Rhinolophus ferrumequinum: one gene and its partners. The protein of the gene in region 1 binds, or shares a complex with, the protein of each later gene. Links are inferred from orthologs where the notes say so. Each region holds a gene or a part of one and is shown in the gene's direction. Other genes may lie near its edges.

The links.
Region 2: PLRG1 (region 1) and GPKOW share a complex: the UniProt entries of both Homo sapiens proteins name them as parts of the minor spliceosome. The link is inferred for Rhinolophus ferrumequinum from reciprocal best matches to the Homo sapiens genes PLRG1 and GPKOW.
Region 3: PLRG1 (region 1) and CWC15 share a complex: the UniProt entries of both Homo sapiens proteins name them as parts of the PRP19-CDC5L splicing complex. The link is inferred for Rhinolophus ferrumequinum from reciprocal best matches to the Homo sapiens genes PLRG1 and CWC15.
Region 4: PLRG1 (region 1) and CTNNBL1 share a complex: the UniProt entries of both Homo sapiens proteins name them as parts of the PRP19-CDC5L splicing complex. The link is inferred for Rhinolophus ferrumequinum from reciprocal best matches to the Homo sapiens genes PLRG1 and CTNNBL1.

The regions. Positions count from the first base shown.
Region 1 is NC_046301.1:25,387,136-25,394,265, reverse strand, and holds the start of PLRG1 (pleiotropic regulator 1), read left to right. Parts: upstream 1-3,975; 5' UTR 3,976-4,096; coding exon 4,097-4,105; intron 4,106-5,571; coding exon 5,572-5,678; intron 5,679-5,964; exon of another isoform or gene 5,965-6,040; intron 6,041-6,711; coding exon 6,712-6,854; intron 6,855-7,130. UniProt on the Homo sapiens protein: Involved in pre-mRNA splicing as component of the spliceosome. Component of the PRP19-CDC5L complex that forms an integral part of the spliceosome and is required for activating pre-mRNA splicing.
Region 2 is NC_046284.1:85,590,833-85,598,933, forward strand, and holds the start of GPKOW (G-patch domain and KOW motifs-containing protein), read left to right. Parts: upstream 1-4,871; 5' UTR 4,872-4,940; coding exon of another isoform or gene 4,941-4,963; 5' UTR 4,964-5,059; coding exon 5,060-5,235; intron 5,236-5,978; coding exon 5,979-6,133; intron 6,134-6,228; coding exon 6,229-6,353; intron 6,354-8,101. Other genes in the region: uncharacterized protein LOC117016622, read left to right, coding at 412-537, 3,828-3,835. UniProt on the Homo sapiens protein: RNA-binding protein involved in pre-mRNA splicing. As a component of the minor spliceosome, involved in the splicing of U12-type introns in pre-mRNAs.
Region 3 is NC_046294.1:65,762,715-65,770,266, reverse strand, and holds the start of CWC15 (spliceosome-associated protein CWC15 homolog), read left to right. Parts: upstream 1-4,452; 5' UTR 4,453-4,569; intron 4,570-4,727; exon of another isoform or gene 4,728-4,803; intron 4,804-5,640; exon of another isoform or gene 5,641-5,813; intron 5,814-5,929; 5' UTR 5,930-5,937; coding exon 5,938-6,068; intron 6,069-6,682; coding exon 6,683-6,795; intron 6,796-7,409; coding exon 7,410-7,498; intron 7,499-7,552. UniProt on the Homo sapiens protein: Involved in pre-mRNA splicing as component of the spliceosome. Component of the PRP19-CDC5L complex that forms an integral part of the spliceosome and is required for activating pre-mRNA splicing.
Region 4 is NC_046306.1:18,333,132-18,340,578, reverse strand, and holds the start of CTNNBL1 (beta-catenin-like protein 1), read left to right. Parts: upstream 1-4,321; 5' UTR 4,322-4,439; coding exon 4,440-4,469; intron 4,470-7,447. UniProt on the Homo sapiens protein: Component of the PRP19-CDC5L complex that forms an integral part of the spliceosome and is required for activating pre-mRNA splicing.

The DNA.
Region 1 (7,130 bases):
TATGGTATATTTTATACACCTGGAACATGGAAGGTATTTGATAAATATATGTTGAACAAGGTTTGAATGTATGAATGAGTGAATGACTGAACAAATAAAATACCGATTCTCTTTTCAAAATAGGCATAGCTTTTGAGAAACTATACTAAGTCATTATTAGTCTCTGTGTGTTTTTTTCCTGTTTCATCCTGAGCTACAGTTTGAAAACCACTACTTAAGGGGAAATTAATACTGAAGAGTTGGAGGCCCTCTTGAACCAGAGCTTTGATGGACCTGAAATTAGTGTAATGGTGACAGCTGTAACTGGTTAGCTGTCTGTGACGGGAAAACATGCTGCAGAGAAGAGTAGGGGTTGGCTCTGTCTTTTGAGGTGAGTCTCCCTCTATTGATTTGGAAGATGACAGTTTGCTTTTCTTAAGGGAGCTGAGACAGAGCATGGCAATATGGGAAAAATAGGATATTTTCTTGTTCAACCCAATGCTGATAACAAGAGCTGGAGAAGAGACAGAGATGCTCTTCTGCTTCTGTCATATTGGGACTCAAAACGACAAGGGATGTAATGAACACCTGTTGGAGTGCTACTCCCTTCTCATAGAATGACCCCTAAAATGCAGGCATAGTCCTGTTAGTCTTGTGATATCCTGACTCTCTAGCCACAGATGACTGAGCTAGGAGTAGAACCCTTACCTAAGTCAGCGCTATCAGCTTCTCTCACCCAATTTAATTTAATTTAATGTTTGCAAAGGACATAAGCAGAGAATCAGGTCAATTAGCCCGGTAGATGGGTCATACCAGCATTCTACAGGGAAAGGCTCCAAACTCCAGCAGCAGAAATAATCAAAACTTCTAAACTTGTTCATTTGATTCCTCTGTCAAGTCTCTGAGACACCTGATGTCCTTAATAGTATCCACCCCCTCCCTATTATCTTTCGGTAAATTAGGCTGAGATGGCCTCTCAGATTTGCTAAACTAATCCAAAGAGAAAATTAAGATCAATAGAAATCAGACTATTTTTTTAAAGCATAAATTGCATCTTCAAAAGAGAAGCTATATTACAATAAATGATGAAAAGTTTGTGTACTGAAGTATATAGTACCAGCAGTAAAACTCTGTAAAATATTACAACTTTTATTTTATTTTGGAGAGTTTTAGTAACATTCATTTAAAAAAATTCACTATTTAGTAACTATTTCTTGAATTAAATTAACAATATTTTCTGTAAAATGTGCCCAGAATTAGATTAATGGGGCATTAGATATATTTATAGTTTTGAGTCTTCCTATCCAAGAATAAGGTATGCATTTTCATTAGTTCAAATCTTTTTTATGTCCTCTAAATTTTTTTTATTTAAGTCTTGCGCTTTTATCATTTATAAGTTACAAATAAAATCATTTTTTCATTATATTTTTAACTGCATATATGAAAGCTATTGATTTTTTAATACTATTTTTGTACTCAGATATTATATTTTAGTGAATTCTCTTATTGTTTCCAATAGTTTCTCCAGTTGATTTCTTTTTTTTTTTCTTTTTGGCATAAAATCATACCATACACAAATAAAGATAGCTTTGTTTCATTATTTCTTATTTCACACCACTTATTTTTTTTCTCTCATCCAATTGCATGACTACTACTTTCAGGACAAAAATGTGTGCATACTAATGGTGATAATAGGAATTCTAGTTTTGTGGCTGGCTAATTAGAATGTTTTTAATGTTAACCTATAAACATGACGCTGACTTTTGGTAGTATTTTAAAAGAAAGCCTAAAAATGTCTAAATTATAATAGTAAAATATTCATACAATCAGTATGCTTTAATCCTCTTAATTATTGATGTCAGGAAGTTTTTCTGCCAAATAAATCCATTTTTGCAAATCATATGTTTTTACAAATAAATTAGTATCATTTAAGTTAGTATCAGAATTAAATTTGAAATACACGAAACAAAATTTGGCACTAACTTACCTAAATATAGTGAAAAATAATTCCTTTTCTTAAAATTTACTATGATTAGAAAGACAGACTGTCCTCCTCATACAAGCAATTCTCTGCCTTACACATAGAAAAGAGTTAAGATTAAATTAATGGTTGTTGAAATAGTAGCATCTTTTCAAGGGTGAGCACATTACACACACACACACACACACACACACACACACACACACACAATATCCTTCCTATAGATTTACTATCTGCAACCCCACATCAAAATTTATGTCTCATTGCCTTCCAACCCCATATCTAAGTGTCTAAAACTTAACATCTTCCTTACTCAATCGTTCAACAAATTTTGAAAGCATATAAGTTGCAAGTCAACTAGACACTGGGTGTGTAATAGTGAATATCACAGCATACTCACTCCATATGTCTGTTGGGAAATACAGATAAACAAATATTACCATCGAACACGGTGGTATATGGACTCAGCTAAGAAAACTGGAAATGTCACATTGCAATTTTTACTTTGTCAGCATAAACACTGACATATTTTTGCAAAAATGGAAACACAAATAAAGATAAATTATGAGTCATGATCATGTTCACTTTTGACTCTTGTTTTTGTGATATGGGATGTGACTTCATAGAGGAAAGTGAAACTGTGACAAAAAACACATTCTTCCCGTCACACACACACACACACACACACACACACACACAGCTTACTAAGATGTATATAATTGACAGTGTAGCTTAATTATGTACCAGGCCTTCCCAGGCATTAAGTGGAAGAATAGCTCCCTCATTGTCTCCTGTAGTCCCAAAAGCTTTCCTCTCAACTGTGTTATCAGAAAGCACCTGAAAACACTACCTCAGCAGTTGGGTCCATTCTTATCATTGTAATAAACAACTAAAGACCAAACTCCTGATAGAAATGTCCAAGTATTCTTTTTCTGTTTCTGATCTCAGGAATTCCAAAAGACATGATAACTTGTATTATCTCCCGTGTCTTAGTGTAACGAAAATCCTCTTATCCTTATGAAGAGCAACAGTGACCCCTACTGCTCAAATAAGGCAGCTCCGGGTGTCAACCGGGACAGGGATTCTTAACCTTTTCTGGGTCGTGGATCATTTTGTGAATCCGAAGAAACCTATAGATCCCTTCACCAGAACAAAATTCAGGTTCTTACATAAATACAAAATTTACATACTATATATAGGTAATTCTTGGATCCCTGAGCTAGTAATACGGTCACGGAGCTCTCTAAAAGTTTCAAGTGGATAATATAATTCTGTAAATTTAAGAGAGCTTTTCAAAAGGAGCATAATCTCGTCCAATCTACCTCAGTCATTACAATGTTTTTATGAGTCTGGGCTTACATTTTTTTTCAGGAATAGTAACTAACAAGCTAATAGACCCAAATAGACAGTTACTATATTGCTATAGACATATTAGAATCTTGCTTACATTTCTATAACTTTATTGCCATTTAAAATCATGTTCTTTTGTATAGTTATTACCGTCTTTATAGTTACAAGATTTAGTGTCACTAGTACAGTATGTATTTTGTAATTATGATATTTCCTTGCAAGCCCTAACATCAGTGACCACTGTTAGAGAAAATCAGTTCTTAGGCAAAACTTACACTCAAATTCGGGGATGACTGCCTTTTCAAGTATGACTTTAATGTGTTTAACTAATTTAAATCAATACATTTCTAAATGGGAAGATCAATCCACATTGCTATACTTTTGATAGATTGCACACCCCCTCCTCCAAGTACATGCAGTATGCTCCGGGGACAAGATCAGTGGAACTGATTATGGTTAAGGAATAAGCAGAGCCAGGGAAATGTTTGTTTATTCAAGTTTGAAAATGTCCAATTCCATCAATTTTTCTTTACACCTAGCAAAACACGTGTTCCCGGAGCGTCCGCTCCGCAGCCCCGAGACTCTGCCCCAGCGGCGGCCCGGAGGGTAAAAAGGGCGGCGCCTCAACCCCGGGAAGCCTGCGGGAGACCAGCGCGCAACGTGCGGGGCTGCGTCACATCCGGCGTCAGGGCGCCAGATTCCGGAAGAGGCTGCAGTTGTGGCGGCGGTTTCTCTGTTGGTGATTAGTATCTTTCCTGCCAGAGCGGGGAAATACACGGCAGCATCATGGTTGAGGTAAAGTGACATTTGGTACTGAGGGGTAGTTTGCTACTGGACTGTTTTCCTTTGGCGACAGGCACGGGGGATCGAGGGGATCCAGGGAGAGTAGAAGCTGCTCAGGGAGGCTGTTTGGCCGAGGCCAGGTTGTCTCTAGGTTTTCAGGGAGAGAGGGAGGCTTTTCAGGGGATGAGAGCACGAATTGGAGGTTCCCTCCGGGCGGGAAGCCTAAGCTAACGCCTCCCCTCCTTATTTAACCCTTGGGCACTGGAGCGGGGCGCTGCCCTCGGAGGTGCGGCTTCTGTCGATGTTCGACCGCCGTGTTCGCCGCCTGCGGGGTGGTGTCAGTGCATCTGTGTTCTAGGCGACTGGCGGTTTGCTCCCGTGGTGACTCTGTCTCTTCTTTTAGCTCTTCCCCAGGAAAATCTGCCGTTCTTGAATTTTTGCATCTTTCCCTAGCTTGAACAACCATTCTATTAGCAAGCCTTGTCTGTCTTTTCTCAGAACTGTTTCTTGACTTTTGTCCATTCCCATTGCCATCACCGTAATTCAGACCAACCTCACCTTTCATCTCGACAGTTGCGTTGGTTCCAAACTGGTCTCCTTCCTTCCATCTCTCTCTCTCTCTCGCTCTCGCTCTCTCGCTCTCTCTCTCTCTCTCACACACACACACACACAAGTTAATCTATTTAAAAATGTAAGTTGGTCCTGCTTTTCTTACTTAAAACCCTTTACTGGCCCTATGCTGCTAGAACAAAAATACAGACTGCTATAATGGTCTAAAAAAAAAAAAAACACAAAAAACCCTAACTAGATCTGGACCATGTCTACCCTCGCAACCTCATCTTGCATCATAACTCACCCTCTCACCAAACACATACAATTGTTCTGCCCCTCCTGGCATTTTTTCTGTTACTGAATTCCTTTGCGCATGGTGTTTTCCTTCTGCCTGGATTGTTCTTAACCTCTTTTCTGTGCAAGGCTAACACCCTTTCTGCTTAAATAGCACCTCAGAGAGATCTTTCATAACTATCCTAAGTTTTTGCTCCACTCTCTCAGTCCCTTGCTTCTTTTCTTCACAGTACTTATCAAAATGTGGAGTTATTTTTGCTTATTTTTATTTAAATGTGTCTTGTTTCATCTTGAGCACAGCGACCATGACCATCTTTTTGTCGTTCTGTTGTTAGCTTTCAGCCCAATACCTACCAGACACAGTACCTACCAGACAAATAGTAGCTCAGTAAACTTTTATTGAATAAATGACTAATCTCAGGCATAATTCAGTTGTTATACTTGGGGTTCTAGCAAAAAAGGGGAGCTTCGTCCTTTGAACTTGACTGCTGTAGCTTGCTACAAGTAGCTCTGGTGAGCGGTGCAAAGTTTTTGACATATTTAAACATGCAACGGAATGACAATTTGACTTTAATTTAGGTTTGATATGTGTAGTCTGTGGCTAGATATGTAATTATACTCTTTCTTTCTAGGAAGTACAGAAACATTCTGTGCATACACTTGTGTTCCGGTCGTTGAAGAGGACCCATGACATGTTTGTAGCTGATAATGGAAAACCTGTGCCTTTGGATGAAGAGAGGTAGGTATAGTTCCTTTTCAATTGCTAGAATATTTAAACTCCTAAAATTGGGGGAAGAGAGCAGGGAGAGGGGTACCTTTAGAGTTTAGTGAATAACACTAACACTCACAGAATATCTATTCAGTAATGAGTGGAGTAACTTAAGCTGATTTAACTTTTTTTTGGCCTTTTACATTAATTAGTTAATTACTTAATTAATTAATTGCATTTTACAAATACCCAGTAATTAGGAGAGTCCCATTTAGGTATTTTATTTTATAATCAATCACTTTGTATGTGCTTTCAGCTTCCCTCCCGCTGCTCTCAGAGCCTTGCTGAGCTGAAATTGTACCTGGCCAGTACTTCTACTCCCATCTTTTCTCGTTAGTATGATGAAGATTTTTGAGTGGTGGCATATTTTTGGTTCTACATCTCCAGCTCCAGTCTAGGATTGCATTATGTGCAGTGTTCCTTCTTTGTTCTTCACCCTTCTTTTAAAGTCTACTTAATTCCTCAAACAAGCATTTATATTTAATTTGTAAAGTAGGCTATTCTTGAAAGCAATATAATAAGTGCATTTCTTTATAAAATATTGAGCTAATTAAGTACTTCGATCATTTCTAACCTTCAAAATATCTAGTAAACGTTATTGTAGAAGCTTTTACTATATTTTTGTATTTAGACATTTGAAGGAGAGTATTGATTCTGAGGTTTTTTAAAAAAAAGATATATTTGTTTCTATATATTTTAAAATCAGTTAGACCCTTGATAACTCATCATGAAAGGTTTTATATTTATCGGTTAACAAGCTAAAATATTTCTTAGACTTAATGGATGCTGTGTGGTGGGTTGTGAATAAAAGTGTGGAAATGTACTTGGAAATTTTGAGCTTTTTAAAATGTTTAAAATCTTCATAGAAACTTTTTCTACATAATTAGGCAAACTTAAGCTATTTAAGTACTTGTTTCCTGTCTATCTGTGACTATATTTATTTTGGTGACTATATTTGAAGTACTTAAAAATACATTCCTTTGTTTATAACTTTTTAAAATAGTCACAAACGAAAAATGGCAATCAAGCTGAGGAATGAGTATGGTCCTGTGTTGCATATGCCTACTTCGAAAGAAAATTTTAAAGAGAAGGGCCCTCAGAATGCATCAGATTCATATGGTCATAAACAGTATCCTGCCAACCAAGGTGAGTGTGGCATTGTCAGAAATGCCAGGACTTACGTGTGAATTTTTAAAAATAAATGAAATATTTTATTAGTGCCCCTCTTGGTGGAAGACTAATTAGAGCCATACCGTATTTTAACACCACTAGTATTATGATGGAAGTCTAGATTTCCTCATTGGAATAGTGAGTGAGATATGTATTGGTTGGTGGGTTTTAGTTCTACAGGAAATAAAAATAAAAGTGGTAGTATAATGGTGGCAGAAACCATTAGGATATGGAGTTGGTTATAGTGGAAAA
Region 2 (8,101 bases), on another chromosome or scaffold:
TATAAATGCATTGTGGGCGGGGCTCGAAATGTCGGGAATGGCTGAGGTGTGTAGGCTAATTAGAGGGTGGCGCCTGGAATGTTCAGGAGTCGAATCCTGGAGAGTGCGCCCTCCCGGATGGGCCTAGGGTGTTATTTGAGGGGCAGGGTCTGCGTGTTTAGAGGGAAGTAGGAAGGTCTGGAGGATGATTCAAGTAGCCGGTCCCAGGATTATTATTTAAGAAGGCGGGATAAAGACAGTTATTTCTGTGGGCAAAGCCTTGAAAGGACACTGCCTAGGTAGTTAAATGGTGGTCAAAGCCCGACGTAAGTTCAAAGAGATGAAAGCTAGATCGTTAAATTAGGGGGCGGGACCTACGTGGCTTCTATGGAGATTCACTAAACAGGTTTCATAGCCTCTGCCATCCCCCAGCAGGTAGCATGTTGGACTGTAAAGACAGTAATGTCAAAAATAAAAAAGACAGTAATGTCACGGAAAATCTCCTGTCATGGAAGGCCCCCTTGCTTCCCACTCGGAGTTCCCAGCATGGCAAATACAGTAAGTTGTGAAATACCTTGGGTTTTTTGAGGAGCTTAAAAACTCCATGAGCTGGAGACTTGCTTAAGGAACCTTGGGGAGGGAGAGGATAGCTTAATAGGATGGGAGCTGCAGGAGAGCAATGGACAGGGTCAGCCTGAGAATCTAGCACAAGTCAATGTTGGATGTCTCTCCATTTATTTAGGTCTTCTGTAATTTCTTTCAACAATGTTTTGTAGTTTTCACAGTACATTTGTTACACTTCTTTTGTTAAATTTATTTCTAGGTATTTTATTATTTTAAGGCTTTTGTAAATGGAATTATTTTCTTAATTTCATTTTTATTTTGCTTATAGAAATACAATTGATTTTTGTATACTGATCAATCCTGTAACCTTGCCAAACTTGCTTATTAGTTCTGATAGCTTTTTAGTGGATTCCTAGAATTTTCTATAGAATGTCATCTGCAATAGAGATGGTTTTACTTCTTCCTTTCCTATTTGGATACCTTTAATTTCTTTTTTCTTGTCTATCTTTCCTGATTAGAACTTCAAGGACAATATTAAATAGAAGTAGCAAGAGCAGCATTGTTGTTTTGTTTCTGATCTTGGATAGAAACTATTCAAACTTTCACATTAAGAATGATTTTAGCTGTCTACTGAACCCATTGCTTCTGATAGTAAATCAGCTTATAATGTTACTGGGGTTACCTTGTATGTAAAGAGTGATTTTTCTCATTGGTTACCAGACCGAAATCCGTGTGCCTGATGCTTGGACAAAACTCAAAACATCATAGAGTTTGGAGTAAGGAAAGGTTTATTGATTGAGAAGGCGCCCAAATGAGAAGATGGAAAACCTCGTGGTGCTTCAATGCCATCTTGCTCGCTGGACCAGGCCAATGGTTTTTAAGGGGCAAGGGGGAACAGGTATGTGGAAGTTCTGATGGGGCAAGTTTTAATTGGAGGACCTTGGATCTTGATCATTGATGGTAAAGGGGCATCAACACCGGATCTTCCTGGACAATGGGCCCTTGGCTTCTGAAAGTGTTCCGGTGTTCAAGTTCCGGTTATGTCCTGGTTCTTTGATTCCATGAGTTGGGGGACAAGACTTTGGTTCCAGGTGCAGCTGGAGGCTAAAGTTCTCTCCTCTGCACATGCCCTGACTGCACGACTTGCAGTCTTGGTCTGTAGTCTCTGAAAAGCAACTCAGTATCTCCTTGAACAGGATAGGACCATTTTGAGCTTGTTCTGCAATTACATTTGTGCTTGCAATGTTTTCTCTTTGGATTTTGACATTTTGACTATGATATGTCTGGGTATTAATCTCTTTGCATTTATCCTATTTGGAGTTCATTAAGCTTCTTGAACATGTGGATTAAAAGTTCATTAACCAAATTTAGAATGTTTTTAGCTATTATTTCTTAGAATAATTTTTCTGCTCCTCTCTCTGTCTCCACTTCTTTTTTTTTCACTTATTTATTTTTTTTATTGGGGAAGGGGAACAGGACTTTATTGGGGAACAGTGTGTACTTCCAGGACTTTCTTTTTTTCCAAGTCAGGTTGTTGTCCTTTCAATCTTAGTTGTGGAGGGTGTCATTCAGCTTCAAGTTATTGTCCTTTTAGTCTTAGTTGTGGAGGGCGCAGCTCAGCTCCAGGTCCAGTTGCTGTTGCTAGTTGCAGGGGGCGCAGCCCACCATCCCTTGCGGGAGTCGAGGGATTGAACTGGCAACCTTGTGGTCGAGAGCCCACTGGCCCATGTGGGAATCGAACCGGCAGCCTTCGGAGTTAGGAGCATGGAGCTCTAACCGCCTGAGCCACCGGGCTGGCCCTGTATCCACTTCTTCTGATACTCCCATTGCACATATGTCAGTGAACCTAATGGTGTCCCATATTTCTCTGATGCTGTGTTCGTTTTTCTTGATTCCTTTTACTGTCTGTTCTTCAGATTGCATAATCTGTATTGATCTCTCTTCTAGTTCACTGATTATTTTTTTCTGCCAGTTCAAATCTACTATTGGCCCTTCTGGTGAAATATTTTCATTTTGGTTATTGTACTTTTCAACTCTGGGATTTCCATTTGGTCATTTTTTTTTTGGTAATTTTATTTCTTTATTGACATTTTCTATTTGATGAAATACTGTTACATACCGTGTTTCCCCGAAAATAAGACCTAGCTGGACAATCAGCTCTCGTGCGTCTTTTGGAGCAAGAATTAACATAAGACCTGGTCTTATTTTACTATAATATAAGACCCGGTATAATATAATACAATATAATATAACGTAATGTAATATAATATAATATAATATAATATAATATAATACCGGGTCTTATATTAATTTTTGCTCCAAAAGGCTCTTTAGAGCTGATTGTCCGGCTAGCTCATATTTTGGGGAAACACAGTATCATACCTTCCCTTAAGTCTTTATACATGATTTCTTTTACTTCTTTGAACAAATGTATAATAACCACTTTGAAATCTTTATCTGCTAGGTCCAGCATTTGGGCCCTCTAACAGGCAGTTTCTGTTTCCTTTTCCCCACCCCACCCCACATATGGGTCACATCTTTTTGTTTCTTTGCATGTCACATAATTCGTTGTTGAAAACTGGACATTTTATATAACATTGTAGCAACTCTAGGTACTGATCTGCCCATTTTTGTTGTTGTTTGCTTGTTTGTTTAGTGACTTGATTATACTAATTTAGTCAAATCTATTTCTGCCTCACGAACCTCTTCAGAGGGTTCAGCCTTAGGCATGAGCACAGACACACTGAAATGACCTTACTTTTATCCAGGCTCTCTTTGTTTCTTTCCCTGATCTCCTAGTTTAATTTCTGGTTGGTATGCCTATATTGATACCATACCCAGCTGTTAATCTAAACTAATTTTTGACAATGCCGTAGGGCATAATTTGTTCCATAGTTTTATCCAATTAAAGTCAGGCCTTTTGTATGGGGTAGGTAAGCTTTGAGGGTAGTCTTTGCAGCTTGCTCTGAAGTAACCCCTTAGATGGGCTCTCCTTAGCTGTTTCTTTCCTGTTTTGCTTGTTGCTATCATGGAGATACCTGCCTCCTCTTAATTGCTCACAAAGCCCTTTTGGACAAAAAAGGGAGGGGCACTGTAATAAATCTAATCAAAAGTAACCTCATATGGTGATTGATCATAAATTCCTAATTGGGTAGGTTATGGTGGGTAGTCTCATCCCAGGCATATAACTTCTTTAGTAAAAGGTTTATCTTGGCCTTAAGCAAGCCCCATCCATTGTTTCTGTGCATCTAAGTTAATACACCTTTGAAATGTCTCTTTTTCAGACCCCTGAAGTGTAACCACCCTCAAGAGAGCACATAATCTTGTTAACTATCCTGTAGGTGGATGTGGATGAAGAATATACAGGAACTCTCTTACTATTTTTAATTCTAAAATTATTTCAAAATAAAAATTAAAAGATGTTTGTTGTTGTATATTTTGAAAACCACAGTGGCTTCTCTCTCGAGATTCCAGGGCCCTTTCCAGGATGCCTAGGGATTCTAAGCCTGGAAACATGGCCACGAGATTGATCAAATAATGGGCTTCCTGTTTTCAAGACAATCCTCTGACCCCACCATAAGATTCTACTTTCCAAACATTTCCATTTCATTTCATTATATTTATAGCTTCACATTTAAAGGCTCAAGTATATGATTTCCATCCAAGACATGTACTATAATTCTTTTTGCCTCATCCTCTTCTGTTGTTCATTTAAGAGGTCTTCAAGATCTTGCTACAATAATAGTATGATGAATCTCATATAAAAATCCTTTTGCACATCTTCAATGATTTCTTTGGGATGAATTTTTTGTATATTTGTAGTATTCTTTCTTGTGACTATTTGTTTAAGTAACAGTCTTCTACTTTACTAACTCTTAAGGTCATACACAAGGGGAACCTGTCTAATTAATCTTTTGAAGACTTAGGATCTGGGTCTCACAACATATTTAATGTTGATAGGAAATATTTTTTAAATATTTGTTTAAGTGTCATTGCTCCCCACTGCACTATGAGCCTCTAGAAAGGAGGAGGTGCATTTTTTATTAATAGTTGAATCCAGAGCTTGTCCAGTATTAAATCTGGTATCGGTAGGCACCATTTACATGGCTCTATTATTATTTTTTATTGTACACGACTGGCATTCACACTTTTTCTTAAATGATTTATCTTGCCTACACTTCTCACACCAGTAGGGCACAGTAACGTGTACACAGTACGCGATCAATAAATACTTGTCAAACGCCTACACGAAGTACTGAATATCTGCTAAGAATGAATCAGCCTCCTACCACGCCTACCTCCCTGAAGAACTACATTTCCCTATATGCTTAGCGCGACGCGCGCCTATGAAGTAAAAAGGGCGACAATTGCTTCCCACCGCCCGCTTTCACCTGTCGATGCCGCAGTATTTTGTGGGAAGGTAGGTAGTTCTAGCGCTAGTTGTCAGGTCCCGGGCAACCCGAGCCCAAACTAACCTTCCCAGCAAGCAGCTCACCAGCCTGGGAAGAGGGGCAAGATGGCGGATGCGGAAGAAGGTGTTTTGCGGCCGGCGGGAGCCTCCACTGCCCCGATTTCGTTCAGCTTTAGTCGCACGTCCGCCCGGAGACGGCTGGCGGGCCCAGGAGACGGCGCGGGTGCGGCCCCGGAGGAGAAGGATTTCTTGAAGACCGTGGAAGGGAGGGAGTTGCAGAGGTGAAGCGCCGAGTCGTTCATCCCTTGGAAGTCGGTGCGCTGGGTGCAAGTGGGAGGGTGCAATCTGAGTTGATTGTCTCGGTGACAGTGACCTGGAAAGCCTGAATACCGCCAGAGGAAATTCGTGGAGGCGAGAAGGCGGGAGTTTGTAGGACAGGTGGAGAAATTGAGCCTGATGGCCGTGGGGATTGACAAGAGAGGATGGATTCCTGAGAGGGAGTGTCTTTAGGATTTAGGAACCCTGAGATGTGTGCGTTCTGAGAGAAGGAAAAGAGGAGAGAATTACAGGACCCCTAATGTCTCAACTGATGCGGTGGGGCTTCTCTGATACGGGGAAACGGGATGGAGCGACAGATTCAGGTTGGAGGATGCCTTCGTCAGCTTAATCCGGAAAGGAGAGTCTGAGGGAGGGATTTCCAGAAAAAAATCAACCAGCCAAGGAGGCAGGTGTGGAGCCTGGAGCTGGGGAGAGAATACAGGCTGAATATAGTGATTTGTGGGTCATTGTGGAAGCCATCGACTGAGGACTGATTCCCCAAAGGCACAATTAGGAGTTGGGGGTGGAGGAGAGAATCCAAAGAAAGTACCATGAGAGACCTAACAGGAGAGCCAGACAGAACCGAGGGCGCTGTCCATGGGACTTGGGGTGAGCTTGGCTCTTGTGTTTTCTCTGAATGAAGGGGTGTGGCTCAACCCACTGACCATACTACTCTCCCAACTTCACCCTTCTGTGTTCACATTAGTGTAAAGCCCTCAGAAGCCCCCAAGGAACTCGTCATCCCCTTGATCCAGTATGGCCATCGCAGGCAGCCACCAACCCAGGCCCCGGGGCCATCCACAGATATTGAGGCCATGGGGGATGGGGTGCTGTCCCAGGCTGTGAAGGAGCTCATTGAGGGTGAGTGATCCCCCATTTGCCTTGCCCCAGTAAAGGAAGAACAGGAGGAAAATGGAAGGGAAGGGTGGAACCTCATTGCTCCCATTCTTCCTTAGAATCCAAGAAGTCTCTGGAGGAGAGCGAGAATGCAGGTGTTGACCCCACGCTCGCTATCCCCATGATCCAGAAAGGATGCACTCCCAACGGGGAAGGCACAGACAGTGAACCCCAGGCTGAGACAGTGAGCTGGCCCCTCGCCCCCCTCCTCTCCCAGCCTCTCTTTTCCCTGTCTGACAGGCTTGCCTCCCTGCACACAGCAGGAGAAGTGTGTGTGTGTGTGTGTGTGTGTGTGTGTGTGTGTGTGTGTGATGATGCATACTACTTACCCGTCCTTCCATCCTTTGGAGTGTTTGAGGAACACCAAGGGGACTGATGTGACCGAAGTGGAATGAGGGAGAGGGAGGGGTCGTAGATGAGCTCATCAGTGGGAAGGCTGAACTAGGCAGGGCCTTGTGGGCTGTGGTGAGGACGTGGATTTTAGTCTGAATGAGATGAGAGTGAGGAGAGGGCTCTGAGCAGAGAAAGGACACGACTTATGTTTTGACAGGATTTCTCTGGCTGCTGTGAACAGAACAGACTAAGTAAGCAGAGGTGGAAGCAAGGTGACCAGTAGTGATGGAGACTGAAACCAGAGTGGTAGGAGTGAGGCCTGGAAGGACAGGTAGGGTTTAGTGAGAAAAGGGAGAGCAGGGTGAGTACTCCTAATGGCAGCAATGACCCAGACCATGGCATGATGGCAGGAAATCAATGTGGTGCGTGTCCGACAGTGAGGCAATTTATGGTGTATCTGGAGCGAATATAAAGAACTGCGGGAGTGATGATGGGAGGTAACGGGTGTGTCTACATAAGTAACCAAGTCTGTCTTTCATACCCATGGACCCTCTTTTCACCTCTTCATTCACAGTTTGTTTTTTGCAGTGCTTTGGAGCCTGACTTTCCTACAGCCCCAGACCACCATCTCTTTTGACTGAACTTTCTTATTAGCCTTCAGATGTCCTCTGGTTTCTTTCATCATACAAAAGAAAAAAAGACTTTCACTCTCCATCCTCTTCCAGCTTTGGCCTCATTTCTCTCAGTTTTCCTCCTTGCTCAGCTTTCCACGTCTCAGTTGATCACATTTACAGCCATCCTTTCTCTTACTCAGCCTAAAAACCTTAGCACCCACCTTTGACGCACCTCTTTATTTCATACCACAATACAATCTTTCAGCAGAATCCTATCATATTCCTTTTCAAAATACCTCTAAAATCGGAACAGTTCTCCCCGTCGCCACTACCACTGTGCTGGTCTGAGCCACTAGCATCACTACTGGCATTGGACTGCTGCAGTTACTGTCTCAATGGTCTCCCTTGTGGCTCCTGCCCAGCTCTCCTAATTAATCTCTTACCACCCCTCTCTACATCCATATCTCTAGTTCAGTCAGGTTGACTTTCCTCATATTTTTCAGACATACCAGATCTTGTCCTGCTTCAGTACCTTTGCTCTTACTGTTCTCTCTGCTTGGAACACTTTTCCTTCTCACATCCTCATGGCTTTCTCTGTCATCTCCTCTGGTCTCTGCTCAAATATCAACTCAGTGACACTCCCTTCTCCATCCTTCTGCAGCTCCTTAACCTGCTTTATTTTCCTTCACATAATTTATTACCACCTGACATATCCTGTTTTATGTATTTTATTTATTGTGTGTCCCGCAACTGGAATGTAAGCTCCAGAAGAGCAGGTGTTTATGTCTGTTTTGTTTACTGCTTTCTCCCTAGCACCTAGAACAGTACCTGGCACAGAACAGGTGCTTTGTAAATATCTGTTGAAAGACTGAAGTGGAGGAGTAAAGTGAGGGATGGTGAGGGGAAATCAAAAGTTACCCTTGAACTGACTGGAAAAGAAGCAGTGAGGATCTCAGTGGGAAGTAGCAAATGCACTTCTGAGGAC
Region 3 (7,552 bases), on another chromosome or scaffold:
TGAATTAGAATTTTGAGGGACATATATGCCTGATAATCACATGATTTTTCATTTAGAGATTCTTTCCTGAAAAATCATCTTTCTGGGTCTTGGTGTATGTTCTTTTCAAATATGAATTTCAGACTAGTAGAACATAAATTACCTTTTTCTCCTTTAAAATATAAAACTATTAAGGCAATCCTTTTTACATCAAAATGTGATTTCCACCCCCCAGTTAAAACTCATTCATTCATTCATTTATTCATTCATTTAGTCACTCATTTGTAAAACGTTTATGGGCGCCTGTTGGTGCCAGACATTGTTTTAGATGTGGGGACTACATCACTGGGCAAAACAGACTCCTCCCTTGTAGAATTTATATCCTGCATGTGATAGGTAGAGAAAGAAATAATAAACATAAGTAAATTTATAGGATCATGGAAAACGATACGTGCTAAAGGAAAAGTAGAGCAGGATAAGCGAGATAAGGAGTGCAGGATGTTACAGGACAAATGTGGAGGAGGGTTGCCAGCTATAAACAGGGCTGTCTTAATTGGCTGACCTCATTTGAACAAAGACTTGAATAAGACCGGCAAGAGTGTTCTTAGCCAGGGAAATAGCTAATGCAGGAGCTATGCTCAAACAACACTAGGAAGGCGTGTAGCCTAGAGAGGCATGATCAAGAGAGGTCAACACGTTGAGGAGAACCTTGTAAGTCACTGTGAGCACCTTTGACTTTGACTGTGAGGGAAGTGGAGTCAATGCCTCCCTGCTGTCTGACTGGATCCCCTTTGCACCCAATCCCATCTAACAGTATTATTAATTTTTAAAAATTGTTGACAAACTAATGCTATAATGTGATAATTGTTAGTTTGCTTTCATTTTCTTAATGGGGTGCTTGAGTCTTTCATGTTTATTATCTATTTGGAATTGCTTTTTCTGAATAGCCTGTTTACATTCGTTGCCCAATTTTTTTATTGGGTTGTTTGTATTTTTTATATTATGTGTATTAATAGTAGTGGGGTAGTCATAATCCTTCATATGTTAGACACATTACAGAATTCACCTGCTAATCTGGAGTTTATCTTTTACAAACCCTAGTTTGTATAAATAGTCTTAAATTTTCTTCTTCGATTTCTTCAGTTACTGTTTTCCTTTGGGGTGTTTAATTCAACTGGACGTAGTGTTTGTGTAGGCTTTGAAACCAGAATTCCTACATTACATCCTGCTATAAGAATAGTCAGTTTTGCTATCATAATTATACAAAACATTCTTTTCACATTGAATTAAAATACAACCGTGTCATGTTAAAACGAAGGAGCAATTTTTAAGGTTAATATGTACTACACCATATCCAAAAACTGGTAGGAATGAACTGAAAGGGATGGATTAATAGATTATGAGAGACAGGAAATATAGTAGGATGCCAGTCACTAAGCAGACTAGAGGGACTGGGACCCAGAGCACAAGGGAGAGGGTTTGGGTCACCTCACCTCTAACACATAGAAAGCTGAGGGCATGGGAAAAGTCAAAGGCAGCTCGGTAGGTCTGCTGGGGAGCAGATGAGGAATCCTTGTTTAAGAGCTTTTATTTTCCCTGAAAAGTTAGACGATTGTCCGCTCTTGGGAAAGAGGACGAGGAAGGCCAAGAGGGTAGAAGAGGCATACAGATTTGAGGAAAGAGAGGAATGTGAGAAATCATATTATTGCAGAGTGAGAAAATAAACAATTAGGACAATATAAGAGGACTGGCAGGCAGAATTAAGGGCTCAACTAGATTTTTGTGGTAATAGGTTTAAAATGAGAATTCTTGGGAGGTAATAAATGATTTTTGCCAGCAAGCGTAGCTGAAAGGATGAATTTTAAAGTTTTAGTAAACTTACTTTTCATTTCTTTTTCAAAGACTTTCAAATCATTTTAGTCAAAAGCTTTACAGTTTCATTTTCTTATTAGTACTTTACAATCACTTAAGTAAAAAAAAATTAGTTTCTTTTTCTTATTAATACTTTCAGAGCATTTAAGTCAAAACTTTTAATTTTGTGGACTGATTATATTGCATGTTGGTGTTAATTATACCACTGCTGGTAAATTACAAGTGTGGTTATTTAACCATGGATAATGATCAAAAAATTAGGCTGTGGGCCAGTAGTTAAATGAATCAGGGTGATTGGCTCAGGGTTGATAAGGCAGTTGGAACACAAAAATCAGGGGTATTTTCTATAATTGTGTCACCACCTTGTCATTGTTACTTCATTCCTCCACTTCATAGTGCATCAATCATTCATTCATTCAACAAATACTTACTCAGCACCTATTATGTGCCAGGCACTGTTCTATATGCAGAGGATACACCAGTGAACAAGAGAGACAAGGTTCCTGATTTTCTGGAACTTATGTTCTAATATAGGAAGATAGACAATAATAAAAATAATATTAATAATAATAATAGCTAACATTTATTTAGCAAGTACTGTTTGCTGAGACAGTTTTAAGCACTTTACAAATATTAATTCAACTAATCCTTATAATAACATTATGAAGTACAGTGTAGAATTTTCCCATTTTATACGAGGAAACTGAGGGCACAGAAAGGGAAAACAACTTGCCTAAGGGTACACAGCTAGGAAAGGGCAGAACTGGAATTTAGAACCAAGCCTGTCAGGCTACAGGTTTCTTTCTCTTAATGACTTTGCTATGCCGCCTTTCAGACAATAAATAAGGCAATAAACAAATAATGAACAAATTCAGGTAGGTTTAGTATTATGAAAAAAATAAAACAGGGTGATGTGACAATATTTGTGTGTTGGAGGAGTAGGGATGCAAACGTAGATGTCAGGGAAAACTTCACTGAGGAGGTGACATTTGGACTGAGACTGGAAGGATGGAAATATAGGTATCTTGGAGCACAGGCAGTAGAGAAAAGCTAGTGTAAAGGAGACTTTCCTTGTTTGTGAAACAGAGATGCCCAGTTGGCTGTGCTAGAACTTAGTGTGAAAGAAAGTGACTGATTAGAAGTGAAGTCAGGGAGGTAGGCAGGAGGGGCGGCCTGATGGGTCCTCAGGCCACAGTAAGAAATATGATTTTTATTCTAACTGTAATGGATTTTTATGCAGAACAGTCACACTATGTGATTCATAATTTTAAAATATCACTCTCACTGCTACATGCAAAATTGAATGTAGGACAAAGGTGGAAGCAGGAAGATCCATTGGGAGGCAGTAACAATCCATGTGGAAAATGACGGTGGCTTGGACTGGGATATTGGCAGTAGAATGAAATTTAGGGTATATTTTGGAAGTTGAATTGGCAAGACTTGCAAAGGAAATGGATGTGAAGAGTGAAGAGAAAGGAATTTAAGAAGCCTTGGGATTTGGGTTTAAGTAATGGTATAATAGTGTCCTTTACTGAAATGTGTGACACTTGAGTAATACCTTCAGTAAGAAAAAAATCAAGATTTACATCTTGAACTTTATGGAGAAAGGGAGTTTGTCTACTTTTTATTTTTTTCCATTTGAAAGTTTCAGAGTTCTGGGAAAATAAAATCATTTTGATGTTTAATTTTACAAGCTCTTTTACATTTGAAACTAAGTTGAAGGAGCTGAATTTTCATTTGTTTAACCATTTATTGAGGATCTACTATAGCCAAGTGATGAGATACCAAAATAAACTAAGCAAACCAGATCTCTGCCCCCAGAGTGTTTTTCTTTGGGGGGGGGGGGGAGGCAGAAGGGGGCGGAGGAGAGACGGAAGAACAATTCATGCTTTTTTTTCCTGTTCGTTGTCTTTTGAAAACTTCACCTGACGCCTGAGTAGCCATCTTATAATAATTGCATCTCGTGCTCCTGGCAGTTGGGCCCACCGTTCTAAACGCTCAATTAATAAATGAATCTCTAATAGTGACATCTCCCCTCCCGCTAGAACTTAGCTTTTTTTAAAGTAAAAATTTTCCCAAACAATACGAATACAACCTTTGCTTTGAAGACTAATATTTTGGCAGGAATGGTACCTTTATAAAGATCGTGGTTGCCCCCGTACATATTTGTTCTTTCTTCATATCCAATTAAATGAAAATACTAGTTTTTCCGTAGCCCAACTCTCTAGGCTTGTTGGGTCTAGATCAGGAGAAAGGCAGCAGGAGCCGTTGGATTTAAACAGTTGGGTGTAATCCTTTTCTACGCTCTCTCTCGCTAGCCGGGGACGTGGTGTCGGCTACCCGGGGCTTTCCGTCCACGCAGTACCGGAATGAAGGAGTCTGGGAGGGGGTCGGGGAAGGAAAAGACGGAAGAGACATTAAGTAATTGGTTCTTGAAGGTATAAAATCATGTTTAGGGTATGCTCTAAAGCACGGATTTCAAACGCCCGCCCCCTGGGCTGTTTCGACCCTGCCCCTTGCTGTCGTCACGCCGACACCACCTCGGTCTCTGAGGATTGGTCGAGGCTTCCGCCTCTGAAGGGCGGCTAAAGTGCTTGCGGTTCGCTTCCGGGTCATCGGCATTGGCCCCTGGCGCAGAGGATTCTGGGAGTCAGGAGTGGTAATGGTGTCTGAATCCCCTTCGACGGCTGCTGCATCGGATCTCGGCCAACGTGAGCGGTGGGAAGATAGCAGATTGTCTTCGTTATCCGACTGGGGCGGGAAAGGGCGGTTTGGATCGGAGTCGCCGACGGAGAACCGAGCGCGGGCGGAGCAGGCCCTGGAGCTGGGGGCGGGGGGTGGAGCTCTGCACCTGTGGGCGCGTCTCCAGTCCCGGGGGCCCCGGAGAGTGCAGCGCCGAGGCAACGCTACAGACCGCGTTAAGCAGGGTCTGGGCCTCGCATCGATCGCGGGGTAGGGCAAGGGGAAGAGTCAGCGAGTTCCTGGTGACCTCCCGAAGGCGAACTCCCGGGTGGCCAGAGTGACAATTGTGCGGAGGGGGTGTGGGAGGCAGCGGCGCCCCCAGCGGCAGGAAACCCTGTTTCTCCTCCACTGGACACATCTTTTTACCTTTTTTTTTAAAATCTAGAGACGTATACTACCAGTTAGTTACCCCAACTTCCTCCATGCACTTGGTTTTCTGACGCTTACCGGGATTTTAGTAGCCACATCTGCTGGGTGTGGTATTCTTTCGACTATTCAAAACCAAAAGTAACGTAAAGAACGAGTCTCTGATCTTATCACAATTCTTTGGGGGTGAGATTCCTGTCTTATGAGCGTTCCTTAAGTTATAACCTACAAAAGACCTGATTTTATATTACGTTGGCTGCTGTAAGAGAAAGTTGGGTCAACAGAAGGTTGTTGGAGAATTCTTCCCATGTAATTGTCATTGAAGTTTAGCACTTTTCTCCAGGACACTCAGTAATTGTAATTAAGGTATTATTTTTGTGATTTTTAAAATACTCTTTTTGTTTTTGTAGTTACTAGCCTATTTTCTGTTGTGTGAGGTTTAGTAGGTTGTTGCAAAAGTAATTGCGGTTTTTGCAATGTTTAATCTTTTAAACCGCAGTTACTTTTGCACCAACCTAATAGATAAAATGCGAACTTTAAGGAGTCTGGTGGAGTAAGGTTGAGTTGAGAATTTTTAAGACTCAGTCATGGCAGTATCATATTTTACAAGAGTTTTGCCATGGCAAATCACATAATAATTCTATGACGAATATCCCCATTCCACAGATGAGAGAAACTTAAGCTTGGTGACTTGCTCAAGGCCACAGAACCAGAAGGAGAACGGGAACACAAATTCAGATCTTCGTGACTAGAATTTTTTGTACCAGATAGGAGCTTCCTAACAAGCCATATTCCTTGTACCTCCCTGAACCTCATTTTTTTCCCCCGTGGAACTTTTGTTTGAGGTTATTTAAGTAAGTTTTGGGGAATGAGCTGTGGAAATTACTTCACAAGGGTGAATATTGATTAATACTTTATAAAATGAGATTTTGCCATATGGGAAATAATGTGATATTATTTTTCTTCAAAGCGTAAAAGATGACAACAGCAGCTAGGCCAACTTTTGAACCTGCAAGAGGTGGAAGAGGAAAAGGAGAAGGTGATTTGAGCCAACTCTCAAAGCAATATTCAAGTAGAGACCTACCTTCTCACACAAAGATAAAATACAGGTAATGAAGACTCATTTTTTTCGTGTTCACAAAGCAAAATCAAATCTGTTAAATAGTATGGTCACGAGATAGTAGCATGTTTAGCTTACATTGCTTAAGTTATCTATTTTCATGGGAGTAGAATGCAGTAGTGTATAACACTAAAATTATGTTCTGTGATTGTAAAATACTAGCAGATATTCCTTAAGCAGAAATTCCTGTTTAACCAGGAATTTCTGTATGTAGAAATTCCTGTTTAACCAGGAATTTCTGTATGTAGATAAAACAGTAACTAATATATTAACTCAGAGGGACCATGCACTATTACTACTAATCAATATGAGATCAAAAGTATTCCTGTAGCAGGACCTGAGTTAACATACTAACAAAAAAGTAAAGACATTTTAATCAATCTGCAGCCTTACGGGGACATACATGATTTCAGTTTGGGCTTCTTGAAATCTGGAAATATCACAAGGATGCCTGTTAATAACCTTCACATTAGGATAATAATTTTGTCCAGTTCCCTCTTTCATACTTGAGGGACTCGAGGACAAAGTTGCTTTTTGTGAATTATCTTCCATTGCTACATCCTGGGGTTGTTTTTTAACACTTTTGTCCTGGTTTGTTTCTAGACAGACCACTCAGGATGCCCCTGAAGAGGTTCGGAACCGTGACTTCAGGCGAGAGTTGGAAGAGAGGGAGAGAGCTGCTGCAAGAGAAAAAAATAGAGATCGTCCAACCCGAGGTACAAACACTGCCCCGACATTTGTCTCATAAAATTATGTTGACAGTAGTTTTTCTTTCATGGGGTAATTGGAATAGATTATGTCTTTTGTTTTCTTTTAAATATTGGTATGGCCTGCAAAACTTTCTTGAATGATGAGAAGTGATAATGAGGTCAATTTCAGGTCCATCTTTTTATGATTCTATATCAGAAGGAAAAGGTTGATTGGGGCTATTTAGCAGCCATTGTTTCAGTTCAGATCAAGGAGTTATTGGTTATTTACAAGAGCCACACTTTTTGGAGCCCCGTGATTTCAGTCTATGAAATTTTCCCATTTTTGTCACTGGCTATAGGAAGGTGACATCAGTTATTAATATAATGTCTTTTATATTTCCAGCATATGTAAACTATTCTCTAAATTCCCCTGAGAGAGGCTGCAGTTCCCATATTAAAATCAATACTTTCATTAATTCTGTCAACAAATATTTACCAAGGATTTATTTGCCAGGCACCATGGTTTTGATCCCTGTTGTCATGATGGTTATAGTCTAAGCTCTTTGTGCCCACGTCCCTAAAATGTTTTAAGAAGTACAGTATTTGTTTCAGTAAGCGAAGTGATGTTTGTTTTTTTCCAGAACATACAACCTCCTCTTCTGTGTCAAAGAAGCCTCGGTTAGACCAGATTCCCGCTGCCAACCTCGATGCAGATGATCCTCTAACAGATGTATGTTTTGTTAACTCCTTTGTCTCCATACACTAATTTATTTATATCATGTTT
Region 4 (7,447 bases), on another chromosome or scaffold:
CAGTTGGTCTCTTGGGTGGTGCCTTTCTCCCATCTCTCTCGTGGATGCCACTCTGAAATTAGTATCATCAATACATGTTTTTGGACTGCTGGATGCATAGCACATAGCTAGCTTTTTTTTGTTGTTGTTCCCTTGTTAGTTTTTTGTTGTTGTTTTGGGGTATAATTGACATAACATTATATTAGTTTCAGATGTACAATGTAATGATTCGATATTTGTATATATTGCAAAATGATCACCATGATAAGTTGAGTTAACATCTGTTCACCATACATAGTTACAAAATATTTTTTTCTTGTGATGGGAACTTTTAAAATCCACTCTCAGCTACTTTCAAATATGCAATACAGTGTTATTAACTATACTCACCATGCTGGACATAACATCCCCATGAATAATTCATTTTATAACTGAAAATTTGTACCTGTTTGACCTCTTTCAACCACTTTGCCCACCCCCACCCCCACTCAGGCAACCACCAATCTGTTCTCTATATCCATGAACCTGTTTTGTTTGTTTTGTCTTTTATTTTTAGATTCCACGTATAAATGAGATCATAAGGTATTTATTTTTTTCTGTCTGGCTTATTTCACTTAGTATTCACATAGCTCTTCTGGACTTCCATTTCCTCACCTTTAAAATTGGAATAGCATGTTGTTAGGATTTGGGGTAGGGATTTGAAGGTATTTGATAATATTAGTGCCAGGAATGAATGAATGAATGAATGAATGAATGAATCAATCAATCAATCAATCAATCAATCAATCAGTAGATTGAATGGCTCATTTATTAAATCAACAACTACTTAGTGAGGGCCAGTTAAGTGCTAGGTATTGTGTTAGATTCTGAGGTTATTATGGTGAACAAAACAGCACAATCTGTGCCCTTCTGGAGCTTAGAATACGGAAGGGAAAACAGATCCCAAATGAGTAAAAAGCAAATGAATATAGGAACACAAATCTCAAGTGCTCTGAAGATAATGGTCAGGAATTTTGACAGAGAATCTTGAGGGGAGGGGGAACTGTCTTAGATCTCGTAGTCAGGGAAGACTCCTCTGATGTGGTGACATTAAGCTGAGACCTGAAGGATGTGTGCTCCAAGTCTCATCCCCAGGGAGGTTCCCAAGGAATTTTTAATGGACTCTCTCATCAAGATAAAACTGAAATATCTTACTATGGCATTCAACATCCTCCATAACTGGGATTGCCAGATAAAATATAGGATGCCCAGTTCAATTTCAATTTCAAAACAGTTTTTAGTATGATATTAAATATTGCGTGGAACATATTTATACTAAATTTTTCATTGTTGTTGAAGTGAAATTCAGATTTAACTGGGTATCCTATATTTTTACATGCTAAATCTGGCGACCCCATCCATAATCTTCCCCAGTCACCCTCTCCTATCTATTTCCCACCATTCCCGCCACACACCCTATGCCCTGTCTACAAGAAATGGTCCAACTACCATATATTTTCTCATGCTGTTTCCTCTGCCTGGGTCACCAGTCTCCCACCATGTTCTGTGGGCAACACTCCTCATCCTTTAAACCCAGTCCAAATGGCCCCTCCGCTGGAAAAAGCCTTCCATGTCAGGGCACATTATCCCCATTGCAAGGTGCTCACCGAACCTGGTTCTCACAGGGGTTTGCCTTATAATTCTGTGTTTTAAGGCTTGGTCTCTAAACACACACAGACAAGATGTGAATGCCTGCGAAGGAAAGAGGATAAGGAATGTCTCCTTTTTCCCACCGTTCCCCCCAGTCCTGCTCAACTCCTCATAATACGAACATCAAACATCAATTAGCACTTTTCTGTTCTAGGCACTGTGCTAAGGGCTTTGCATGCAGCATCTCAGGTAAATTCCCCCTGATCTTATGAGGTAAATTCCGTTGAATCGCTACTTTACAGGTGAGTCAATCAGGAACATAGAGGTGAAGTCACGGGCCTCTGTTTTCACTCCTGTAAAATAAGGATCGTAATGATATCTTCCTCCTCCTTAGGTTTCCTTCCCAGCTAGAATGTCAGTTCCAAGAGGGCAGGAACTTTTTCTTATAAACTTCTATATCCTCAGAGCCTAGAATTATGTCTGGCATTGAGTAGGCCCTCGGTAAATACTTGTTGAGTGAATGAAGGAGTCACCTTACAGATGAGGGCATTGCAATTTAGAGAGAAAGTAACTTGACCAAGGGCACACAGGGAGATGTGGTAGAACTTTGACTAGAGCCAGAATCAGTGGTGTGTTGGTAAATGTTTAATAACCAACTCTCTGAAAAACCAGTATCCCTGATTTGAAGCATTTGTTGATTTCCATGATCTAAACACTCCCATTATGGCTGATTTCAAGCAACCAAGCTGATGTCAACCTGCTTGCAAATTTCCTGAAAATGTAACCATAGGCTCTTGCACATCTGTCTATACAAGTCGGCTCCAGCATACCAAGAACTAGGACATAATTCTAAAAGGGTCAGTTCTGAAGGGCATATCCCCACCATGACTCTATCCTGCCTCCCCAAACAAGGCACAGTCCCTACTTACAGCTAAGTAGAATGGGAAAAGACACCGAAATAACTCAGTTCCAAGCAGATTGCATAGGTGATTCTTAAAACACCAACAAACAAACAAATCACAAAACTCCTCTGCTTAAAACCTTTCAATATCTTCCCAATGCTCCTAAAATTAAATCTAGTCTCCTTACTACGACCCATAAGGCTCGTTGTGAAACATCCCCCTGTGTCAGGCACTGTGCTAGGCTTCTTGTAGCAGGATTTAATGGTGAACACCTGTAATTCCTGCTCTCACAGAGCCTGAGTCCCAACAAATGAGGCTGTCAATAAACAATAATCAACCACTAAGTACAAAATTACAAAAGCAAATATATGTGTAGTACAGGAGGTGCTAGGAAAGCGAATAATGAGAAGGGAGTGCCTACTTGGACTAAAGGTGAGTTGAGTTTACTCTAAGAAAGTGACATGTGAGACGTGAAGGATGAGAAAGAATTGGATGAGGTGTAGCCCGACAGAAAAGGAGAGGATCTAGCCCTTTGAAGAATAAAAATAATTCCTGTATAACTGGAGATAGTAAAGATGGGGTGGGGAAGATGGTTATAAATATTGCTATGGTCTGAGCATTTGTGTCCTCCCCAAATTTGGAAGTTGAAATCCTAACTCCCAAGGTGATAGTGTCAGGAAGTGGGGCTTTTGGGAAATGACTAGGTCATAAAGGTGGAGCCTTCATGAATGGGATTAATGCTTTTATAAAAGAGGCTGGAAAAAGCTCCCTCACCTCCTTTGCCACGTGTGGACACAGTGAGAAGGCACCGTCTATGAGCTACAAAGTAGTCCCTCACCCGACAACAAATCTGCCAGCGCCCTGATCTTAGACTTCCCAGCCTCCAGAACCGTGAGAAATAAATCGTGTTGTTTATAAGCCATCCAGGGTATGATATTTTTTCCACAGCAGCCTGAAGGGACTAAGACAAATATGAACATGAAGGGCAGGGGGCTAATGGCCAAGGGGACTGGGGGAGAGGCTTAACACCCTTTGAAGGTAGACCCTTCTTTAAATCCCAGGAGTGATTTGCTTCAATGATGGGCGACTTTCTCCCACAAGAAACCTTTTTATAGATCATCCAGTTCCCACCGGGTCTTGCATAGGTGAATAAACAGAAGCCCAAAGAGGGAAATGTGATCACCAACAGTTTTTCAGCCAGTAATAGTTGTGTGGCCTTGGACAATACCCTTTCTGAGCCACAACTGTCCCACAGAAGAGAGCCACCCATATAATTTACATTTTCTACTAACCACATTTAAAAAGTAAAAAGAAATTTGTGAAACTATATTTTATTTGACCCAGTAGACCCAAAATATTTCAACACGTAATCAAGAGAAGTCTTAAAATCCAGTGTATATTTTTTTTTACACTTACGGCACATTTCAATTCAGACTAGCCCTATTTCAAGCCCTCAGAAGCCAGCCACATGACGTTAGGGGGTATAGTACTGGACAGTGCAGTTCTATGCCTCAGTTTGCTTATCTGTGAAATGAGGATAAAATAAGGATAAAATTGTCTAAGTCACTGGAAAAAAGTGACAGCACTTGCGAAACACTCAATACTCCGCCCTGCACTTGGGGCGCGCTGGATAAACCTTGGCTCCTTAGGTCTTTTCTCTCAGGGCACCGCCCTCCTTCAAGTCTCCGCCCTCTTTCCCCACCCCTTCAGGCTCGGGGCGGAAGCAGTACTGTCGCAAACGCAGCGCACTTTACGGTAGCGCTGTCTTTAACCGCAGTGTGGCTGGCTCACGTGTCGCGCGCACTTTTACCTCATTGGCTCTGCGGCCCCGCTCACGGCGCTTTTCGGCAGTGTGGCTGGAGCCGCTGCTAAGAGGGCCACGGTTTGGACGTGAGTGGAGGGAACCAGTGGTTGGCTGGGCCTGGAACCATGGATGTGGGCGAACTTCTGAGCTACCAGGTAGGAGGGACGAGAGGGCTGGGGGACCGTACTCTCACTCCGGCAGGGGTGGCAGGTCGCAGTGCCAGAATCCCTTCATCTCACCTCCTTTCACCTCAGTCAAGGGCCCGGATCCCCTGACTTCTCATGCCACTGAGATCCGAGCCTCTCATTTCACTTCATTTCCTCTCGAGACACTCCTGGTCTCTTTCAGTTCATTCCTTCTCAAAACTCGAGCCCCTTCTCACCCTACCCTGGGGCCTGGTCCCTTCATCTCTTCTGAAGGCCCCAGACTAGCTTCACACCACCCACCTTCAGCTCTCTTCTCCAGTCATTGAGTTTGTGGTGGTGATGGTCGGACAGCATTGGTCTTTCTTGCATTTGAGCCCCAGCTTCTCCACTGACAGGCTAACGTGGCTTTCGGACAAGTCATTTAGCCCTGTTTGAGCCTCAGGTTTTGTATATATCAAACGGAGACAGTGATGACCATCTAGTAGGATTGTTTGAGGACTCTGTCAACTAGTGGATGTGAAAGCTGATTTTAAAGTGTAGAAAGCTGTCACCATGTTAACTGCAGATGTTGGGAGATGTTCGGAATTCTAGCCTGGGATGGGTCCCAAGGAATCTTGTCCCCCTTGCTCGGGGTACTTAGGGGGAAACGGTGGCCTAGAGGGCAGAAAGGATTTGTCCAAAGTCACTCAACAAGTAAGAGCTGGGATTAAGAGCTAGCTCCCAGCTCAAAAATTTTCCTCCCTCTTTTAATTTCCTAAAGAGGCTTCTTGTGAGTGACACTAGAGCTGTTCTTTCCAATATTAGTAGCCACTAGGCACATATGGCTACTGAACACTTGAAATGGGACTAGTCTGAATTGAGAAGTACTGGAACTGTAAAAATCACACTGGATTTGAAGGCTCAGTATGAAAAAAGTAAAATTTTTATATTGACTACACGACCATATTAATTATATCAATAACATTGGTTATTGACCATTTTAATTAAATGATTATTGTGGATAATGGGTGAAATAAAATATATTTAAAATAAATTTCACCCGTCTCTATTTACTATGTAACTATTAACCGCTTTGATGTGGCTACTAAAATTACTATGTAGCTGGCCTCATATTGTATTAGACAGCTCTGCAGTATAGAGAATAGGTAATTTAGAGTCATGAGTCTGGAGCCCCTGTTGCTTGGAATCTTTGTTTTGCTATAATAATAACTGGCTGCTATAACCTTGAACAAAAGACTTAACTTGTCTATGCCTTGGTTTCCTCATCTGTAAATGGAGGCAATGTTGGTACTTACCACATAGGTCTGTTGTGAAGCTTAGACTAATGCTTATCAAAGAGTAAACATTTAGTAGATGTTAGCAGTTATATTTGTGCCACTACCTCAGCTACTATACAAAGAACTGACCTTGGAGACTAGACAGAACTTGTACCGTGTCTCCCCGAAAATAAGACATAGACGGACCATCAGCGCTAATGCGTCTTTTGGACCAAAAATTAATAGAAGACCTGGTATTATATTATATTATATTATATTAATTATATTAATTATATTATACCTGGTATTATATTATATTATACCCAGTATTATATTATACCCGGTCTTATATTAAAAGAAGACTGGGTCTTATATTAATTTTTGCTCCAAAAGATGCATTAGAGCTGATGGTCCAGCTAGGTCTTATTTTCCAGGAAACACGGTAAGCAATGGGGAGAGAGACAGCCAAGAGATTTCTCTTTTTAAGATGGTAATTGAATGTGAAAGAAGAAAGGAAATAGGAGAGTTGTTGAATGAGTGGTTTGTCTATTTGGAGTTAATGGTACTCATTGACTCTTAGAATATCAAAGCGAGAAGAGGTTCATTTATTTGCTCAACAAATGTTTATTGAACCCCTCACTATGCGAGGTGCTGTGTCCACTGAGTATATGACGTTGAACAAAGCAGACAAAGTTCTTGCTTTTGTGGAGCTTATAGTCTGTTGGGAAGTAACAGGATAATAAGTGAGGAAACAAGAATTCAGATTGTGGTAAATGCTTTGAAGAGTACGCAGGTAATATTGTAGAGCAGTGTTTAGCGTGTTAGCCGTTGGGTACATGTGACTGTCAACACTTGAAATGTGGTTAGTTTGCATTGAGATCTGCTATGTGTGTAAAATACACACTGGATTTCCAAGATTTAGTATGAAAAAAATGAATATAAATATATTAATTTTATATTGATTATGTGTTGAAATGATAATACTTAGGATATATTGGCTTAAATAAAATATTATTAAAATTAACGTCACCTTCTTGAAAACTTTTAATGTGGCTATTAGAAAATGTAAAGTTATATATCTGGCTTGTTTGTGGCTTTCCATATATTTTCATTGGACAGTGCTGCTAAAGAAAATAACCTCCGGGAGTAGGAGACAGGACCTATTTAGGGAATACTGTCTGGGAAGGACTCTAAGGAATGGACATTAAAGGACTAAAAGTTGAGAAGGAACCAATCATGTAGAAAGGGCAGAATGATCAAGGCAGAGGGAATGACACATATATAGGCTGTGATGTAGAAGCTGGTGCAGCCCTGAGAGGATCAGAAAGAGCTTCAGTGTAACTGGTACATGCGGAGTGAGCAGGAGATGGCGGGGATGAAGTTGGAGATGCAGGCAGACGGTAGACTGTGTAGGCCTTCCTGTGGGCCATGATAAGGAGTTTGATTTTATTTGGAGAGCTGTGATAGATAACCTCATTCAACCCACGTGTTTGCAAATGAACAATGAACTCCATTTTGGTAAAGGGCCTTCCCTGAGGTGGTGGGCTCAGGTAGCGGCGGAGTTGAAACCAGAATTCTGATCTCCTCATTTCTCGCTCTGTTCATTCCCCACACGCACTATTCATGCATTTTCCTTTCTGAAAGATCAGGGTCCACTCCTCCTGTTACTGAAAGATAGTACAGTCTGGAATCTAGTCTGGAATCAGTCAAATGCACCCATCCTTTTGTGGA